Linked DNA regions of Rattus norvegicus. The protein of the gene in region 2 binds, or shares a complex with, the protein of the main gene of each other region. Links are inferred from orthologs where the notes say so. Each region holds a gene or a part of one and is shown on either strand. Other genes may lie near its edges. The genes, in order: Gna11, Crhr2 and Ucn.

Region 1 (4,332 bases), on a different chromosome or scaffold from region 2:
ACCCTACAGGAAAGGGGCACAAAGTCCTGTGTAGCCTCAGCTCTGAGAACTTGCACTGGCCTCCAGTTAGTTCTGCAGGTTATTTTATATCAGTTACCACCATGGATGGCTCAAGGTGGGGTGTCTAAGCCTGGGTACACTGAGTGATGTCTAGGGATGCAGCTCATTACCCTGCAGTGACCAGGACGCCCACCCTGAGAACAAGCCAGTAGTCAACTGTTTGCCTGGCTGAACACTCTCTCCAGGACACACAGGGACTGGCAGAACAGGACAGAACACAAAACTCCCAGACTGGACCGTTCCTCACAGATGCAGTCCCAGTATGAGGGTGGTGGCTTCAAACCTGGACAAAGAGGTCAGAATCCTGTACACAGAGTGGGGCTCTCCCCGAAGGGACCACTCAGGGTATGTGGCGGGAACCCTGCCTGCTCCGGAGGGCAGGCTCCAGGACAGCAATCCTGGCCTGCTTCCACCTCAGGCAGTGGGGCACAGGGTCTCCACCCTATCCAGACAGCTGATGTGAAATGAGGGACAGTGCGACCGTGAGGCTGCAGGCAGGAGGTTGGAGCAGGTCTCACAGAACCGCCACCCCCAATACCTGGAACAAACAAACTGCCAGAGAACCAAGGTCATGGTCACCTCCTCCAGGAAGCCCTCACAGCAAGACCTGAGCAGTGCCCAAAGCTCACTCCTGTCTCCCTTTATCCTTCTGCTCTTATAAAGTAATTCCCAGACTCCTGTGGAAGGGTGTGACTGCAGACAGGTGCCCTGAGGGCACAGGTGGCAGCTAAGAATCCAATCACCTAGGGTAGAGGCATGGTGCTGTGTGCAGGTCAATGCAAGGCCCTTTAGCTGCTGGTCAGCTTAGCCTGGTCACAGCACAGAGGGCCAGGGAGCACTCCTGAATCCGAGGGGACTTCAAAGCCAGCTTTGGAGACAGAACAGAGCTGGGATGACACATCATTGGGCTCAGTCACCCAATGTCACCCTTACCTGGCAGCTTCTACCACTGAGCCCACCAGAAAGCTGCTGAACCTCTACAAAGGTCAGCTAGGGCCACACTGTGCCCCCTAGATGGCTACCTTGGGGCTACTGCTGTTTGCTCTGGACTGCTCTGTCCTCTTCTTATCCCTCCCTTCCTGGAAATCTGCATAGATTTTGAGGAATCCCACCATGTTGGGGAGAAGGAACCAAGGCCCCATGACCCTGAGAACCACATGGGCCACAGCAACAGAAGAGAACATGTGCTGACCCCTCCCATGGGACAGTTCAACTGTCACTGCCCTCCATCCCTTCTAGTCAAAGGCTCCCACAGTCCTTTCCTCAGGTTCTCCAAGGCCACCCTTTGTCTTGGGTCCCTGGACTGCAGCTCACCAGGGAACTGGGAGGGGCAGGCAGAGCTGCCCAGTCTGTTTTGTAAACCCCCGCAGGGCCCAGGCCACCCTGCCCTCATTTTGGGCTCTTATTTAGGGTGACAACAAGAGGACCTTGGCTCCCTGGCTCCCAGCAACAGGTGGGCCTTGAGGAGTCAGAACTCCAGGGAGTGACAGACATATGTTGAGTTCCCTGGGGTGGGTGGGCTGGGGAGACGACCCCCAGGAGGCAGGACAGGGGAAGGGAGCCTGCAAGGCTGACTGCTGTCAACCTACTGAGCTCAGGCGCAACAGAAGCCCAAAGAAGAAAAGCCACCCACTCTCCTGCACCCAGCTCCAATGTGGAAGAATTCAGAGGCTCTATGGAAGGAACACAGAGGGAGACTGGGGAGTACCCAGGAAAAGAACAAGCCAAGAGCAAAGCAGGACCCTTTGGAGGTTGAGAAGAGGGTGTAACCCTTGGGAACTGTCTTGGGGAACCTGGAAGCCAAAGGGGTATCATGGGGGGCAAGACAGCTTAAAGGGTTCACCCGAGGCGATCTAGGGACAATGGAAATGAGAGTCTACTTAGTGCAGCAGGGCCAGGGGCAAGCTCTGTACAAGAATTCTCAGGAGTGACAGAAAGCAAGTCTCCCAGGGCCCTGGGGTCCGACGTGGCCAACTGGCCTCGGATATCAGAGGCAGGAGGCTGACCCCGAATGAATCCAAGGCCTGGATAACAGAGGCTGGCCACAAAGGGTCGCACAGGCTAAGCCCAGGAGACCACATGGAAGAAGCTGGCCACCACAGGCCCAAGCCACCTGCACCGCTCAGGGTGCAGCAATCCCGGAAGGGCTGACCGCTGCAGGACGCGCTGACCAGTTGCCCCGAGGACACCCGGGGTGGCCCGACCGGCCGTGGGCTGTGGTCTGGAAGGGTCGCGCCCCGCTGTCACCGCGCGCTACTAGCCGGAGACCAGAGACCGCGGCGGGTACAGCGCCCTGCGCGCGCGGAGACCCCGGCAAGGCCCGGATGCCCCGTGCACCCACCGGGTCCCAGTGACAGAGGTCCCACAGCTCGGAGACGTAGCTCACCGAGAAGCAGCAGCTTGAGCTCGCGCCGGGCGTCGCGCTTGTCTCGCCGCAGCTGTTTCTCGATCTCCGCGTTGATGCGCTTCGACTCCTTCACCTCGTCGCTCAGGCAACACGCCATCATGGACTCCAGAGTCATCGTCGCGGTCCCCCGGCCGCCGCCGGCACGGCCCTGCCTCGTCCCAGTTCCCCGAAGGCCTGGCCCGGCCCCAGAGGCGCGTCCACCGTCCGCGCCGTGCAGCGCAGCTGCCGCCGCTGCCGCCACCCGCAGCCGTCGCCACCGAGCGCCGGCGCCCGACGACCTGAAGCGCTGCCACGGGCCCCGCGACGGGCAGGCGGCGCGGCCAATGGGAGGGGCCGCAAGGCTGCGCGCGCGCGCGCCGCAGGGACAGGACTCTAGAATCACCCGGAGGCGGAGCCTCGCTACTCGGGGGCGGGGTCTGGAGGGCGCAGCGCAGGCGCACCTTGGGTTGCGTCGACGTGGGAAGGGGTTGAGCGGCCCGCAGCTGGGCGCGGACGCCGAGCATTGTGGGAATGGGGAGGACTCGGCCGCCCGATTTCGGTTCCTTTCGGGAAGCGAAGCTCTTCTCGGCTCGGGGAAGTGCCGCTCGGCTACACTCGGCTCTTTTCGGCACGGGGAGGCACCGCTCGGTTGCTCTCGGTTGCGCTCGGCTCCTCTCGGCTCCTCTCGGTTCCTCTCGGCTCCCCGAAGCTGTGCAGGGAACGCGAGGCGAGAAGAGAGTCTGCAATTTTCGCCTGGAGGGAGCGCCCACAGAAGCCATCACCGCCTGTGGATGTGAGAAAACGCCCTGACTAGGGTCGCTCATCTATTCCTTTTTAAAATTTTAAATATTATTTATTTAATGTATATGGCTGTCTTCAGACACACCAGAATAGGGAATCAGATCCCATTACAGATGGTTGTGAGCCACCACGTGGTTGCTGGGAATTGAACTCAGGCCCTTTGGAAGAGGACAGTCAGAGCTCTTAACCACTGAGCCATCTCTCTAGCCCTCGCTCATCCATTCTTAAGCAGGCCTGTCCTACTGTATACAGTGCAGCACTCGCCGAATATCACGCAAGTAACAAGTATGAACAAAACGCTTGCTGGAGAGTATGCGTTGATGCGGCAGCCTGCTGTAGCTCAGGTATTAATATCACATCTACTGTATACCAGGCTTCAAGGGAACACGCATATGAAACTGTCACCTTCAGTATAGGGTATATAAACTGGGTGTTTTTCACATATTACTACGTGTGCCAAACATGAATGCTGTGCCTGCTGTATACCAGACATTATATGTAGTTTGTATATAGATAGTTATGGAGCCCCTGCTGTCAATCAGGCTCCTGGCAGCTGAGGAATAAGCATTAACAGTCTGCCTGCTGTATACCAAGCACCAGCCTCTGCTGCTATACATGTGAACGCCATGTGTGATGTTTGCTGTTTTACAGTGCTGGGGTGGAACCTGGGACACCCCCCCCCCCCCAGCTCAGGCAGGTAAGCTCCCTGTTGGGGGGGCCAATCTGAGTCCCCTAAGGGTGAACTAACTCACAAACCTGAGAAGTGTTTTCCCACCTTCCAGTCAGTGCTCAGTCGGTGCATTAATAACAAAGGCAACTTAAAAGCCAGGGCTGTGCTGCATGTGTTCCTGTCCCCGTCCCTGCCTGACCGCCCAGCCTTGAGATAAGGCTGCGAGGGGAGGGTCAAAGTCTCCGTTTACTAGTTGATTGGGGTTATAGCGTTATCCACCGAAACTCTCCTATCTGGGCCTCTGTCCCCACCCCAGGAGTTCACGGCACAGACAAGGGGCCCCCGTGTGGCCCAGTGAGGTCAAAGTTCCTCTTTCAGCTCAGGGCCACAACCCCATGAGCCTTGACCATACCAG
Region 2 (4,357 bases):
TAGGGTCTGAAAACAGCGTGGGTCTTTAGGGGGCCGCAGGAGTGGAATTGTGGGTAGTAGGCTCTTCTGGTGATTCAGGCACCTGGCAGCGATTAGCACGTAAAGGTTCTGTGCTCAGCGGAGTTAACAGACCACAAGCCCCTCTGCAGACACTGCCATCTCCACAGAGCGTTTCCTATCCTCAAGCACTATCTGCCTTCTGAGAGGCCGGGAACTGGGGAGGGAAAGCGTGCCCGTGACATGATGAGATTAGGAACTTCCCTCAGGTTCCTCGCTGAGTGGTTTTCTCTTTTTAAAGAAGGAGCCCACTGAGAAGGCCAGCTGAAGACAGCAGATAGAGGTGCTGGGCTGGCCCCAGGTAGGAAGAGCATCTATTGGGTATTTCCACTGCTGCCAGGAGCCAGGGCTGACCAACTGCACCCTCCCAGCTCTAGGTATCTCTCTGAGCCAGCACCCCACCCCCAGACCTGTGTTCCTAAGGTACAGGCAGCACTTTGGTCCAAATGAAGAAAATTGTTCATTAGATACTAAGGGCTAATTGCTACCACATTTACCGACCTCAGTGGCATCCTGACCCTTTTTTCAGTTTCTCATTGGACTTGATGGGAGGGGTCTGGTATGCGATGTCCCTGCCTCTCCTTCTTCCCATAAGCTCCCTGATTTTCCTGAAGCAGGGCAGTTAACACTCTGTACTCTTATGTCTAGTGCAAATGCAAGGGCAGTCTCAATACTGTAAGTATAGTTGCTGTAGCTGGCACACAGTAGGGGTTCAGCGATTGGTTATATGATGCTGTGCTGTGCTCAGGTGGGGTTCCAGGCTGCTTGGAGGGAACAGGGTAAGAGCTCACAATTAGCGTCCTCAGACTCCGTCATTCCCCCTTTGCCCTGCATGGCCCTTAGCCTCAGTGCTTCTGAATTAGGTACCTGATCTTCATTGCCCAGTGTTACAGAGGTCACTTCCTCGAAATACAATGCCATTAGCTATTCCTGAGAGGGAACTTGAAGGCATTTCTCGCCTACCTCCTGGGTTAGGATCCTCACTACCTCTCAATGAGATCTGTTTTAATTGTGCTTAGCAGGCGTTGATTGGATGATGGGGAAACCTTCGTCAGTGGCACCTCTACCTCCACAGATGTTTCCTTTCTATTAGGAGCATCCAGTCTTAGCTTCGTCAGAGCAGGCTGCTCCTTGAGCCCAGGGAGTAGAGCCTGGCTCTAGTGCAGGCACTGTGGCCTTGCTTTAAGTACCTATAAGGTGAAGGTCTTCTTGCCTTCAGAGAGCTGGGACATGCACGTGTGAAGGAGGTAGATCACAATTCAGACACTACTGCTAGGATGTAAGGGCTATAGACAAACAGCTTGCCACAGAGTCTCATCAGTGCCATATTAGCATGTAGGGCTGGACAGGTGAGGATGTCCAGTGGGCGAGCTATTGCTACCCACAATCTCACAGAGCTCAGTCCTGACTCCCATGCCCTGGCTTCCATTTGTATTGACATGTGCACATTGACACAAACCCCAGATTGAATGCCCCTCCACCCCAACCTCCGCTTCCCTCTTCTTTTTCCTGTAGTGTACCTCTCAGGGGGCTCTCCAGGAGGAAGGAAACTGAAGGCTGTTCTAACTGGGAGGTGGAGGTATGGACCTCATCCAAACCCACAAGTTACCTGAGGTTGAACAGAGGTAATGCAGCCCAGGGCTCCAGACTCACAAGCCAAGTGCGTGCCAGGGGTTAGGGAAAATGATGATCCCCTATCTCCTCTGGCTTCCCGGACTCTAGGATTGGTATGTTCCCCGATATAGGAGCTCATCTCGTGTCCCTCTCCCCTCCCGATCTCTCCTCTCCAGTAGTTGGGTCTGATCCCCTTAGTCACACTGTGGGTACTGGACTCGGGCCTTAACATCGGTCTGCTGTGTTGCCTTAGGGATGTGAGAGGATTGAATGAACAGAGACCCGAAGGGACGCACATCAGGCACCTAAACAGTGTGGGAGCTTGCCTCTAAGGGGAGGAAGCATTTCCTATTCTCTTGCTCAGTTCTTTCCAAATGTAGCATGAGAACTCTGGGCAAACCACCACTTAGCCTGGGTTAGAAGCGGTCGTAGAGTTAGGAACAGAAGGTGTGCCCCCACATTTACAGAGTTCCAGAAATAAGCGCTTCAGGGTACAGAGACCCTCGGTAGGTGTCCAATTCAGGGTTCAGAGCCCTCCCCTCTTCCTGAACCGCCTTTCTGGGAGGCCAGCACGAGACAAGCAAGGGGCACTCACGGGTCGTGTTGTACTTGATGCCGTTGAAGTATTCGGGGCATGGTCTCTCCACTAGGGCTCCAGGCGCGCTCTGGGGCCAGCAGGTCCCGATCTGGTCCAAGGTCGTGTTGCAGTAGGAGTAGGGACCTGGAGACAGGAGGGAGCGCACAGAGGCTCAAAGGGGGTGGCCCGAGCACGGGGGCCCCACTCAGACCAACGCTAGAAGAAAGCCATGGAGCAAGCCCGCGTGCCGCTACTTCTCTCGCCTCCTGCCTACCTTCGGGGTCCGGGGGCTCTCCCCAGCCGTCCAAAAGCAGCTCTTCGGCCAGTGCCAGGCTGCAGTTGGCCTCCAGCAGGCTGAGGAGCAGCGCCGCGTCCATTGCGCTCCGGAGCCGCGCGCGTTGGGAGTGGGAGTGCGCGCCCCGCGTGGCTGCGAGGGACCTGGCGCGACGCGGAGCCACCAGAGAGTGCAGCGTCCAGGTGCCTCCCCGCCCACCCCGGCCAGCCCGGCAGCTTTGGGGCGCCGCTCTCAATCGGATCACTCCTAGGACCTTGGCCAAGAGAAGCCTCGGGGCTCACGGAGATGAGGGGCCGCCTGCTCGACCATGACCAATAGCGGCGTCGGGGGCGGGGCTCTATCTCCAGCCCCGTCGGTGCTCTCTTGACCAGAGAAGTCTCTGGAATGGTGGCAGGGCTGACGATCTACGGTCTGGGGTGGCTAATAACCCGTCCGAGGATCGAGGGTCGCAGGCCTCGGGTCTACAGGAAATCCACACCACCTTCCTACACCCGTTGCCAGCCAAAGTTGGTCTGCTCCTGACCCTGAAATTTATCCTCCCAAAGGAGTACACTAGAGATGGATAGGGGCAACAAGTCGGCCCAGCAGCAGATTTGTGCCCTGGGGAAGAAAATGGATTGAAGGGGCCCCGGAGGGTTGCAGACAGTTTACCAGAGAGGGTCTAAGAGAGATGGAGAAAATATGGAGTAGGTAGATGGCTCTCAGCAGGAGCCAGGAACTGGTGACAACGCCAGATTTCACACCGGCAGATTTGCCACCAGCAGCGAGATGAGAATATCTAGGAAGACATTAATTAAAATTATCTGGAAGACTTGATGGTTTTAGTATCCTGGGCACCAGATAGAGTGAGAGGTGAAAACAGGTCTCTTTCTCCTGGCTTAAGCAGGGCTATCTGAGGAGTGGAGAAAAGTCACAAGAATGGAGGGGTGAGCACCCTGTAGAGTGCTCAGGGTGGGCCTATAACTGTGGATGGGCCTAGGTTGAGGAACCTGCCTAGGTGTTTTTTTTTTCCAGTCTGGATGCGGTTTTGCCTCTCTTTTCTGTCATGTTGCCTGAGGCAAGAGCCTTCCTGACTTTTCTCCACCAGTGGCATGTTTTCTGAGTTCCTTCACAGTCCAGAGCATCTATAGACATGGTGTAAGAGGGTCTAGAACCAGTCCAGTCCTCCTGCACCCTCCATAGGGGACCAGGTGCTAGTGAAGGCCAAAGCCCCCCTAAAGAGGCCGGTCCTCCAAAGAACTTGCCATTGCTTTTGTACAGTCTTCCTAGCCTCCATATTAATGGTGCCCTCATTCCCTCGCACAGCAAGTGAGTTTGTGAGAGACTGAGCAAGTGGTAAGACCAGACTGAGCCCTGGACTCTCTCTAGGACCTGCCAACTGGCAGGGAGACAGACTACCAGATAGATCTGTCCTCTGCCTCCTGGATGGACAGTTGGGACTCCGGTCCAAATCTCGGCAGTCTTAGGTCTGAGCATGACTGGCTGAGTCCGTCCTCACAGGGATGCAGTCTCCTTCACTAGCAAAGGATGGCCCTTCATATACTGTCATAGCACAGAGAAGAAGGAAACCAATTCAAGTGCAAAGGGTGACTTTATTCCTTTTTTTTTTTTTTTTGGTTCTTTTTTTCGGAGCTGGGGACCGAACCCAGGGCCTTGCGCCTCCTAGCACTCTACCACTGAGCTAAATCCCCAGCCCCGGGTGACTTTATTCCTAATCAGAGCCATGGCTCAGGAGACACATACCACAGTAAGGAGGTGGTGAGCACTTCTGACCTACCCTTTTACATGCAGATTTCTACAGAATAGGGACTGGG
Region 3 (2,706 bases), on a different chromosome or scaffold from region 2:
CCCGGTTCAGGTTTGCACTGATCCGACTCTGATCCAGAGCGCACGCCCGGGAGCCAAGGGATGCTGAGGATCTGCGCAGAGACCATCGCGCTACCCATCTCGGCCTCCACCCCCAGGGATGGTTCTCAATAAAGAACTCATGTGTCCCACGTCCCACGTCCTCAGCTCCTTTCACTGCCCACTCCTAGGCTCAACTATAGAAGCAACCTCGCCATTACTCTGCCCTTTCTCAACCCCAGACCATCTGAAGGGGTGGAGGTGAAATAGTCCGAAGTGGCACCTCCTTTACATCAGAGGTGGCCTCCTGAGCCGGAGACCCTGAAAGGTGTCTGGGTTGGGGTCTCAGACCACCGAGTTCCGGGATTTGGCGGGTTGGGGGAAGGGCCATAGGAACTTTACTGATAGGCTGCCTCTCCCATCCCACTACGCATGCTTGTCTCTCCTACCGGCCTGGAGAGCCCCACTCTCCCAAAAGTTCTTACCCTACTGTGGTTGCCGGTGCCCCCTCACCCCTGTAACAGAAGATAGAGGCTAAGCTCTTGGGCAGTTTTATTAAAAAATATCCAGTCAGAGTGTTCAGGGTAACTCTGGGCGGCGCTGCAACGCGGGACTGAGCCAGCTCCGGTTGTGCGCGCTCCAGCCCCGGGGTAGGTGGGGGAAAGGGTCAAGGCTTTCTGGACCCCATACGGGGCCGATCACTTGCCCACCGAATCGAATATGATGCGGTTCTGCTCTGCGCGCTCGCGCTGGCTCTGTGTCCGAGCTAGCTCTAGCAGGGTCCGCAGCAGGTGGAAGGTGAGGTCGATGGACAACGGCGGGTCGTCTCGTCGTTGCCGCTCGCCTGCAGGCTCAGATCCCGCGCGGCGCGGGAAGCGCTCCGCTAACAGCAAGAGGAGTGCGCGGACACCTCCGCCCTGATTCCGCACTCCGGGGTTCCATCGCAGATTCGGATCCTGGACCACATTCGCCGCCGCAGCCGCTGGGCTCCACTGGCTGCTCTCCGGGCGCAGCTGAACCAGAAGCAGCAACGCTACCAGGAGCGTAGCGCGTCCCCTCTGCCTCATGGTGCCGCCTGCCCTGGACACACAGGGGCAGCATAGGGTGAGATGCACTTGGAGCAGTCACAGGTGACACGAGCCCCTTCGCGCACACGCCCAATGTCCCCGCTAGGACCCTCCAGCTGTTGCCTGGTGTCCACAACCTGCCCACCAGCCCAAGGCGCTGTGCCACTCCAGTTCCACCCCTCCCTCCTTTCCCTCCGGGCAGGTCAAAGTGGGTGGGCTTAGTGCAGAGTCCTGGCGGTAAGGGAGTCTGGATCGTTTGCTCCAAGCCACTCACAGGTTATCGGAGTGTCTATCCAGTGCAAGATGGAGCTCCAGTCTCTGTCCCCGGGGACGGGTTGAAGACGCCTTGGGGAGCACGGGGTCGGTCCCGGGACCGCCGCCAGCCTTATATAGCACCGGGACAGCTCCGACTGACGTCAGCGAAGAACTGAACTGATTGTAGAAACAGTGACACTGGCAGCTTCGAGTCCAGTAGCTTCGAGCCCCCAGAGGGGCACGTATCCTGACTTTGTGTCCCTGGAGCTATCTTTGGAAGCACCCTGGCTGTAGAGGGAGAGGCTGACGGAGCCTTAAAGATAGATCTTTCCGGATGCAGACAGAGTCCTTCCCACCACCAGCCTCTCCACAATAGGATAGTCAGGGGTTGGTTTCTCTGCTCAAGTACGGATTGGTAGGATTGTGGAGCTGTCCGTGGTTCTGAATTTCTTCACGGCTAAGAATCTGGGCAGAAGTTCTGGGGAGAACCCTGGGCTGCCAAGACACAGTTCCCTAGGTCGGCTACTGGGTCCCCAGATTGAGATCAGGAATGCTGTGCTGGAAGGGGCTCAGACAACACAGTCCCACCCAAAGCCCCTCCCACCCTAATAGGTCCCTCCCATTCTACTGACCATTGTGGTACAGCAGTAGAAACTAAAATCTACAGGTGTCAGAATGGCATAAAAGGGCGTTCGGCTTTCAGAACTTAACGCACCTCCTGAGTTTGCCAAAGTAAACTTCCTAGGACCCACAGAAATAGTACTTCATACCTTTATCTTCTAGTTAGGATTACTAGGTGAGGAACTAGGGGTGGGGGTACTGGTGCACTCCTTTAATCCCAGCACCGGGGAGACAGAGGCAGGCAGAACTGTGAGTTTGTGGCCAAACTGGTCTACCGACCCGAGCTAATTCCAAGACAGTCAAGATTACACAAAGAAACCCAGTTTTGAACACCCCCCCCCCACACACACACAAGAAATCACTAGTTAGGAAGTGAGCAAGTTCCTGCTCTCACATCAACTCGAGGTGTGGTCAGGTCTCTCACTTCCAAAATCATTGGTGTCTGTAAATGAAAAGCCTCCACTTTAGTTACAGACATGTCAGCCACTGCAGATTCCAGATAATAATGTATCTATTTCTGTGTGTCTATAAAGTCCCAGAGGGGGGTCTGGAAGGGCACTAGGACCTAGAAACATTACGAAACATTTTCTTTTCTTCTTTTTTTTTCTTTTCTTTTCTTTTTTTTCAGAGCTGGGGACCGAACCCAGGGCCTTGCGCTTGCTAGGTAAGCGCTCTACCACTGAGCTAACTCCCCAACCCCACGAAACATTTTCTAGTCTAGGGACGTTGCTCAGTGTTAGAGCACTTGACTAGTATGCCCAAGGCT

Evidence for each region.
Region 1: the proteins of Crhr2 (region 2) and Gna11 are in contact, whole or in part, in a cryo-EM structure (PDB 7TRY), measured with the Homo sapiens proteins. The link is inferred for Rattus norvegicus from reciprocal best matches to the Homo sapiens genes CRHR2 and GNA11. Residues at the interface, in NP_001874.2 of Homo sapiens: Arg148, Tyr208, Leu209, Ala212, Ile213, Thr216, Glu220, Lys293, Lys307, Ala311, Phe358, Tyr359, Phe362, Asn363; in NP_002058.2 of Homo sapiens: Arg37, Ile348, Leu349, Asn352, Leu353, Glu355, Tyr356, Asn357, Leu358.
Region 3: the proteins of Crhr2 (region 2) and Ucn are in contact, whole or in part, in a cryo-EM structure (PDB 7TS0), measured with the Homo sapiens proteins. The link is inferred for Rattus norvegicus from reciprocal best matches to the Homo sapiens genes CRHR2 and UCN. Residues at the interface, in NP_001874.2 of Homo sapiens: Phe68, Asn69, Gly70, Val71, Tyr73, Ile101, Leu102, Asp103, Asp104, Arg107, Asp110, Tyr113, Leu117, Asn120, Trp166, Leu169, Gln170, Val172, Asp173, His174, His177, Glu178, Thr188, Phe191, Asn192, Phe199, Phe256, Gly257, Lys258, Asp265; in NP_003344.1 of Homo sapiens: Asn84, Pro85, Ser86, Leu87, Ser88, Ile89, Asp90, Leu91, Thr92, Phe93, His94, Leu95, Leu96, Arg97, Thr98, Leu99, Leu100, Leu102, Arg104, Thr105, Ser107, Gln108, Arg111, Ala112, Asn115, Phe119.

Annotation. Positions count from the first base shown.
Region 1 is NC_086025.1:8,812,767-8,817,098, reverse strand, and holds the start of Gna11 (guanine nucleotide-binding protein subunit alpha-11), read right to left. Parts: upstream 2,815-4,332; 5' UTR 2,583-2,814; coding exon 2,447-2,582; intron 1-2,446. UniProt on the Homo sapiens protein: Guanine nucleotide-binding proteins (G proteins) function as transducers downstream of G protein-coupled receptors (GPCRs) in numerous signaling cascades.
Region 2 is NC_086022.1:85,578,624-85,582,980, forward strand, and holds the start of Crhr2 (corticotropin-releasing factor receptor 2 precursor), read right to left. Parts: upstream 2,841-4,357; 5' UTR 2,626-2,840; coding exon 2,523-2,625; intron 2,393-2,522; coding exon 2,267-2,392; intron 1-2,266. UniProt on the Homo sapiens protein: G-protein coupled receptor for CRH (corticotropin-releasing factor), UCN (urocortin), UCN2 and UCN3. Has high affinity for UCN.
Region 3 is NC_086024.1:30,956,753-30,959,458, reverse strand, and holds Ucn (urocortin precursor), read right to left. Parts: upstream 1,374-2,706; 5' UTR 1,339-1,373; intron 1,078-1,338; 5' UTR 1,065-1,077; coding exon 696-1,064; 3' UTR 543-695; downstream 1-542. Other genes in the region: Trim54 (tripartite motif-containing protein 54), read left to right, coding at 11-21. UniProt on the Homo sapiens protein: Acts in vitro to stimulate the secretion of adrenocorticotropic hormone (ACTH). Binds with high affinity to CRF receptor types 1, 2-alpha, and 2-beta. Plays a role in the establishment of normal hearing thresholds.